Linked DNA regions of Lytechinus pictus. The protein of the gene in region 1 binds, or shares a complex with, the protein of each later gene. Links are inferred from orthologs where the notes say so. Each region holds a gene or a part of one and is shown on either strand. Other genes may lie near its edges.

What was found. Proteins that work in one complex are often made in the same cells at the same time.
Region 2: the proteins of apoptosis-inducing factor 1, mitochondrial-like (region 1) and mitochondrial intermembrane space import and assembly protein 40-like are in contact, whole or in part, in a cryo-EM structure (PDB 9GQZ), measured with the Homo sapiens proteins. The link is inferred for Lytechinus pictus from reciprocal best matches to the Homo sapiens genes AIFM1 and CHCHD4. Residues at the interface, in NP_004199.1 of Homo sapiens: Pro345, Tyr347, Ser500, Ser501, Leu502, Pro503, Thr504, Val505, Gly506, Val507, Phe508, Ala509, Lys510, Glu558, Asp559, Tyr560, Asn602, Ala605, Lys606, Phe608, Asn609, Ile610, His611; in NP_001091972.1 of Homo sapiens: Arg5, Glu7, Lys9, Asp10, Arg11, Ile12, Ile13, Phe14, Val15, Thr16, Lys17, His20, Thr22, Pro23.

Annotation. Positions count from the first base shown.
Region 1 is NW_026974140.1:13,269,960-13,273,716, reverse strand, and holds the start of apoptosis-inducing factor 1, mitochondrial-like, read left to right. Parts: upstream 1-1,128; 5' UTR 1,129-1,180; coding exon 1,181-1,270; intron 1,271-1,825; coding exon 1,826-1,982; intron 1,983-3,757. UniProt on the Homo sapiens protein: Functions both as NADH oxidoreductase and as regulator of apoptosis.
Region 2 is NC_087247.1:23,673,324-23,677,080, reverse strand, and holds the start of mitochondrial intermembrane space import and assembly protein 40-like, read left to right. Parts: upstream 1-956; 5' UTR 957-1,033; intron 1,034-1,277; 5' UTR 1,278-1,363; coding exon 1,364-1,385; intron 1,386-3,066; coding exon 3,067-3,159; intron 3,160-3,757.

The sequences.
Region 1 (3,757 bases):
TATAACTGAGAACAAGGTTATATCATAACCTTGTTCATTGAATGAGTGGGTTTCTTACCAGATTGATGTCGCGTAGACCCCTTGATCCACATGTAAACAACGCAAATACAATAGCGTCGACCCTTGAACCGCTTATGTATTACGTACTTCCGATAAGCAATGCCGTTTTGAAGAACAATTTATAGATAAAAAATATTATTTCACAAATACTAAAATTTATTACGTGATTATAAATTGGCAGTATTATACTAATTATTTATAATCACGTAATAAATTAGGCAAAAGTTAGGCAACACACAAATGCACACAATGATGTACAACAGGGCTTGTTGCATGGTGAATTGTGTAGGGATTTATTTTTTTTTCTCTTAGTTACGAACTTTTTTGAGTGAAAATAGTTGCAGTTTAGATATAAGAAATTAGATCTAAAAATTTTGTTAGGTATCTGTGGATTTTGTACAATGGCACTTGAAAGTCTGACTACTCATCCCCTCCCTTCTAATTCTTCTCACCAGAGTCTGGTAGCTTTATCTACCTTATTGAAGTCCCAATGCTCCCTATAGTGAAAAGAATGCTAGCCTGGATAAGATTATTTTAAGATTAGAATTAAAAGAAGGGAAAAGAAAGAACGAACTTTAAACTTCGAGAAAAAATGGAAGAGGTTAACATTAGATGAGAAGAAGAAAACATGAAAAACAGTCAAGGAAAAGTAAGGAGAAGAAGAATTAGAATGGGAGGGGATGAGAAGGAAAATGAGTAGGAGAGGAAAAAACGCACAAAAAAACCCAAAAATAAAAAGAAAGAGGCGATGTTATGTGAAGTCAAACTTGCAATGAAATAATTCAAATTTTACACTATTCAGAATATGTTTGAATACATGACTTGAATCTCCCACTCTTGGTATATGGTGCTCCGTCAGCAATATGCAACATATTCAAGACCTTTTTTTTTCCATCTGCTGGACAAGATGTCAACGCTGTTTATTTTTATCTTTTTACCTGAGTCGGTGTAATATCTGCCCAGAATATGTATATCATACAATAGAATCATTACCCATCAGCCCTTTGTTATGTTGATGCAATTATCTCCTTCTATTTTCCTATCTCTTACTCTAAATATTGTAGGATCCTTGTTCCAACTTCCTCGTCATAAAGTTCTGCAAACCACCACTTCTAGAACTATGGCTCACATAACTACTGAAGGAGTTGGTAAGAATGGAATTTACTGGGCTATCGGTGGAGTTACTTTCTTCATTGCCTCAGCTACATTAGTAAGTATATTATATTTACAATGTGATATGTGGGCAATCATGTGGGATTTATGTGTACGTGGTGTGGATTGGAAAATTTGGCATTTCAAGAGTTTTAAATCATCTGTTTTAACTCTCATGTGTAACTTTGCTTCCATTTTTAAATTTTGCCCAAAGAAATAAGATAAGTTTTAAAGCAGTAGATTTTCTTTTTTTTTTTTCAGAAAACAGTGTTTGTGTTCGGATGAAACTTTTCTTACCATTGACCATATCAACTCTAGTAATGATATAATCACAATCTGTAGAGAAAGCATTTGATGGAACTTCGGAAGTAAGATTCATCATGATTGTTTCAGCTCTTGATTGAAACTATCAATTGGGTGTTTTTAATTTTTTTTTTTCTCCAGAGACATTGATTTACATTACCCATAATTTATCTAGTTCTTAGAAGCACCAGAAGAATTAGTCTAGTTTGAGCTTAGATGACATTGGAGTGGTTTGATATCCTTGTATAAAAATTTGATTATCAAAAGAAGTATCCTGTGATATGATACATGTATATGCAATTCTCTTTAGGTTCAAACACAAGGTTTAGTAACATGGGGTGGCCCACCTAAGAAAGTAAATTTCAATCTGGCTCCTGCCAGTTCAGCTGGATCTGAAGCCAGCCCTGCCGAGCCTGCAGCCAGTACCGAGGCTGCTCCAGCAGAAGGGTCAACAACTACAGGTCAAGGTATGTCAGATGTGGGTGGAGGGGGGGTCTCTATATTTATGTACCTCAACGTTTTCTTTATGATAACAATGTGACATTAAAAGGGTCAACAACTACAGGTCAAGGTATGTCAGATGTGGGTGGAGGGGGGGTCTCTATATTTATGTACCTCAACGTTTTCTTTATGATAACAATGTGACATTAAAAGCAACAAATCCACTTATTTGAGTGCTCAAGGCACATAAAGAACTAAGAAGTAAATAGATGATTTGAGACGATTTTTTAAATATGAAAAAGAGATAAAAATTTGGATGTCTTCCTGAGGGGAGGCAATTCCACAAAATGGGACATGTATGAGCAAAGATTCTTACAATACAAGTTTTATGATAATAAATGTGAATAGAAACATTCTGTTAATAAAGTTACAAAACAGAAGTTCTTAATCATTTTGTGCAAAATACAGCAGACTCTGCTTTTTGTCTCGTCCACCAGAGGTGAAGGCGAGACTTAGGGATCCAAATGTCGTCCGTCCGTCACAAACCTTATGACTTATAACTCCACAACCGTAAGTCACTTTTCAACCAATCTTGGATGGTAGATGGACTTGGGGGAACCTGCATGTTATGCTGCAGTCGGAGGTCAAAGGTCATTTTCAGGTCAACGTTAAAGTTTACATGCAAGATTCTCTTATGACACCTTACTCCGCAACCGTAAGTCACTTTTCAACCAATTTTGGATGGTAGTTGGACTTGGGGAGACCTGCATGTTATGCTGCAGTCGGAGGTCACATGGTAAGGTCAAAGGTCATTTTCAGGTCAACGTTAAAGTTTACATGCAAGATTCTCTTATGTCACCTAACTCCGCAACCGTATGTCACTTTTCAACCAATCTTGGATTGTAGATGGACTTGGGGGGACCTGCATGTTATTGCTGCAGTTGAAGGTCACATGGTAAGGTCAAAGGTCATTTTCAGGTCAACTTTAATGTTTACATGCAAGATTCTCTTATGACACCTAACTCCGCAACCGTAAGTCACATTTCAACCAATCTTGGATGGTAGATGGACTTGGGGGACCTGCATGTTATGCTGCAGTCAGAGGTCACATGGTAAGGTCAATGGTCATTTTCAGGTCAACGTTAAAGTTTACATGCAAGACATTCTTATGACACCTAACTCCGCAACCGGAAGTCACTTTTCAACCAAACTTGGATGGTAGATGAACTTGGGGGACCTGCATGTTATGCTGCAATCGGAGGTCACATGGTAAGGTCAAAGGTCATTTTCAGGTCAACGTTAAAGTTTATGTGCAAGACTCTCTTATGACACATAACTCTGCAACCGTAAATCACTTTTCAACCAAACTTGGATGGTAGATGTACTTAGGGGACCTGCATGCTATTGCGTTGGGAGGTCACATGGTATGGTCAAAGTTCACTTTGAGGGCAACATTAAAATTTACGTGCAAGACTCTTATGACAAGTGTTATTCCATCCTAGTCATTTCACAATGAAGTTTCGTTACAATTCTGATGTAAATCACGATATTTCTGGTTATTTTCATAAGTGGGCGAGACACAAAATCTCTTTTTCCTTTTTGATAAATGTGTTGAGATAGTGCATTCAGATTCTCCTCCAGGTGAGGTATAACAACCATTATATGATGAATGTTCATAAAAAAAACCCAGATAACTTACCCTAATTTAAAGGTATAGAAAGTAGTTGCAGCAAATAATTATTAAATGAGAAAGTCTTTTACATCACAGATAAATGCCACCATATTATCATAGATCTAGTTC
Region 2 (3,757 bases), on another chromosome or scaffold:
AAGATTCTACCACGTCAGGCCATCCATAACTGGACTCGTATTCGTCGTTCTCAGACACTTATCAACATTTTTGATAAATGCTATCTCTAATTTATGCAAAAAATTGTCAAATCTTGTGTTTCGGTATGTAAACATTTAAAATTTATGTTAAACTATATTTTGATGATGTTTGGAACCATTAATAAACTCATAATTATCACAAAGAAAACAACTGTGGTTTACTTTCGTAAACTATCCAAATCTACTATCCCGGGGATACCCATCTCAATGTCCACATGTAAGTTTTTAGTCATGAAATTGAAATGAATTATTCATAATTTGATTTTCTCAGCAAATGAATGCTCCAGTCTTCATGGTTTAAGTATGCATGGTACATATTTTGCCTCTGCTATTATTTTGATTAAATGTATTTCCAAATTAATCACAATAATTGCAGTTTTATCATATTTTTACTTTTAAAAAATTGTGCTATTTTGTGACTAAGGCTACGTCTCGTCTGCTCTTTCAACCGATAGTATCGATATCAAGGTATTCTAGTTAGGAAGCCTTTCGTGAAACGGGTTTAGTAAGATTGAAACTAACTCCGTGGTTGGTGGATAAAGATATGACTAACTTGTCCAGGTAGGTATTAGTATACTAGCTCCTAGTCCTAGTAGCAGGAAAACACTTGCTTACCTCCGCCGGTCTGGCCCGGGGATGTTTCCTTCGAGTTCGTGCTGAGGGGTAGTAGAAGTGCGTTTCCCTTTGTCGTGGGATTTCCCATTTTCCTAAAACTGACGTCTGGTTGTGAATACAGTTTGATCTTCTAGTCCCAGTACACTATCTGATCCCCTGAATATATTTTTATTTTCTTTTAAACTACTCAAATTAAACAATTTACGATCGGTCGACCAGACGGTTACACATTATGGTCTGGTCATATGCCAACAAACGGTATACGATACGGCGTACGGTCGACCGGCCGGGATGCGGCGTATACGTGGCGACTCGCACCATTGCTTTCCATTCAATTTCGATTCGAGCTACCAATAGTGTAATGGTCTTTTGATCAGCAGCCCATTCACTAAATATGATAAAATCTATGCATAATGATAAGAAATCAATTTCCAGCCCCAGCATTTTATGATCATAAGAATCGATTATCATTACACTGAAATCCATTAAATACATAAAATGGCACCATTACTACATAATAAGAAATTATCATCTGGATTTAGTAATAAGATATAACCATTTTCCTGAACAAAAACTATTTACGGTAACACATGTGTGTGCAGGTATTTCTTACATCATCACTGTTAGCTGCTGCGTCTAAATACAAGTCGAATTCTTACAGAATTAGGGGAGAATTAGATAAACAACAATGTCGTATTGTCGCCAAGAGGGTATGTATAATGTTCTCAGATTATTCTCTTTTATGTTTTTAAAGCATGATTTGAAAAGGGTGTATTCTGAACTCTGAAGTATTTCTTCGCAACATTCTTCATCATCTACTTCATCATTCATGATGATGATTACGCCGTACTTCCCCGCGGTTGCCGGCTGCCCCAGCCTAGCCCCTGTCCAACGGCCCGTCCCCTTCCCGATCCCTGGGCCCTGGCGCGCTAGCGCTCAGGCAGCCTCAGCTTGTTTCACTGGCCCGTATTCTGAGGTCAGGTGTAACTTAGACTAAGGTTTAAAGTTGTGGTTTAAGTATGGGAAGCCAAATGTATCATTTTTTTTATTAAGTTGTAATTGTACATTTCCTATGTTTACTCACTCACACGTATTGCGAGGCTAGTACCTCGTATTACTATTAGTGTGAGTGGTATTAATAGTATACTAACCTCGCACCATGAACCGCGTGTGGCAGTGGATTTCTAACTAGCTAGTGGGTCTCGCGTGATGGGATCTCACTTCTGGTGTCCACAACACATGACTTCTATGGCTTGATTTTTCTGTGCGCGGCAGCATGTAATGAACCCTTGGGTGATGTTTACTGTGCTCTTTCCTGATTCATCGATGGTGAAGACAATCATCTATTTATACGTACTTTTTACACAATTATGAATGATTTGAGAGCAGAATGGGCTGAAGTATGATATCTCTACCGTTAGTGGTTTATGTAACAATTGGCTGTCCATACTTAAACCACAACTTTAAACCTGAGTTTAAGTTAAACCCGACTTCAGAATACGGGCCACTGAGTCTGAAGTGCGTGGAGCTACATGTAGCTGGAGCGCGATAGATACATGTACTGGGCGGACGTGCATTAACAACGTTTAAAAACAACGGGCATTAAGGTAAGGTGGGCCTGGCTGAGCAAATCATGTCACGTCACTCGTCGGTAGCCGAGTGCTGCATTATTTATATATTCACGGTTATTTTCAATTCCGTTAAACGCCTGACTTAGTTTTATATGGGGAGTCGAAACCGAACAGTTTTCGGATAAACAAAAACATCATGATCATTAGATCATACCTTTACTTTAGGCTTTGTTTTGCCAAAGACAGTTGCCACCTATACTGAAAGCAGTGTAAGCCGGTCTGGGTAGCCAAGAGGCTCCTTGAGAGTAAAAATATTTTACTAACGTATGCTTACTCTCCAACGGAGCCTGGGATTCCATCCCATTTATCTGCGTATACCGCCAAAAAACCTGAAACTTTGGCCCCCGAGATTTCTACTTATAAGATCTAGCCTTAAATCATGTAAATCGGATACAACTTCATTTCCGACATTTCTACGCTATCAATTTCATTTATAAACAAGAATTCATAAAAAAATGAAAAAAATATGAAAAGACGGGGGAGACTTGCCCGATGCTTACGCCGCCATCTTGTTTCTCATTGTCCTTCGCCGTTACTTTTCTCTCTCTTTCTCTTCCATTGCACCTTGGGCACTGTGCAGAGCGGATTTGGCGCATTACAAATCCCTTCTAAATACCAATCTTACTTTTGTAAATCACTGCAAGTACAAGCAGTGATGATCAGTAATATACAATGGCTTTTTGTACAAACAAAACTTATTGTAGACATGTTTCTGTGTTCTTACGTTGATCTTTGTGATTATTTTTTTTATTATTATCAGGGAAGGACCAAGTTCTCTTCGTCACAAAGGAGGACCATGAAACCCCCATCAAGGAGGAACTCAAATATCTTGCTGAGGAAGAAGAACCAGAAGGTACATAATATCTTGTTGATACTCGACTAAATCACCCAAGACTTTACTGATGTGACGTTACCATATTGCTTCTAGACTGATGGTACAGAAAGGATACATTATCTGGAAAAAGGAATTATGTAAACAAATGTTTGCAACCATGTCCATGATATTTTGTGTTACCACACCCTTAAAAATCCTAGCTAATGATATTTGTTTGAAAGTAAACTATCTGTAATGGCAGCTTGTGGGCATTCCAGCAGTAAGATGTAAACTAGAAATTAGGGCGAAGTCAAAATTTTAAACGTCATTCTAACAACATTTTAAGAGGTTCATTTTTTCCTACTACAACTGTGTGACCGTATTGAAGAAAAAAAAAACACTTCCCAAAATGTTGCTGAAATTCTACAGATCAATATTGTACATATTGTAGTCCCACATGTAGACTTTCATGTAGGTAGATCGAGTGTGACATCGATTGAAAACAATCTTTCATTGTCAAGAAAGATGGGAGACTCTCTGATTCTCTTGATAATTCCCAATTAAATCAAAAGAATTTCAAGGAAATATGGAAAATAAGTAGGCCAGTTCAATTTCATTTATATGTAGCGGTGAAAAG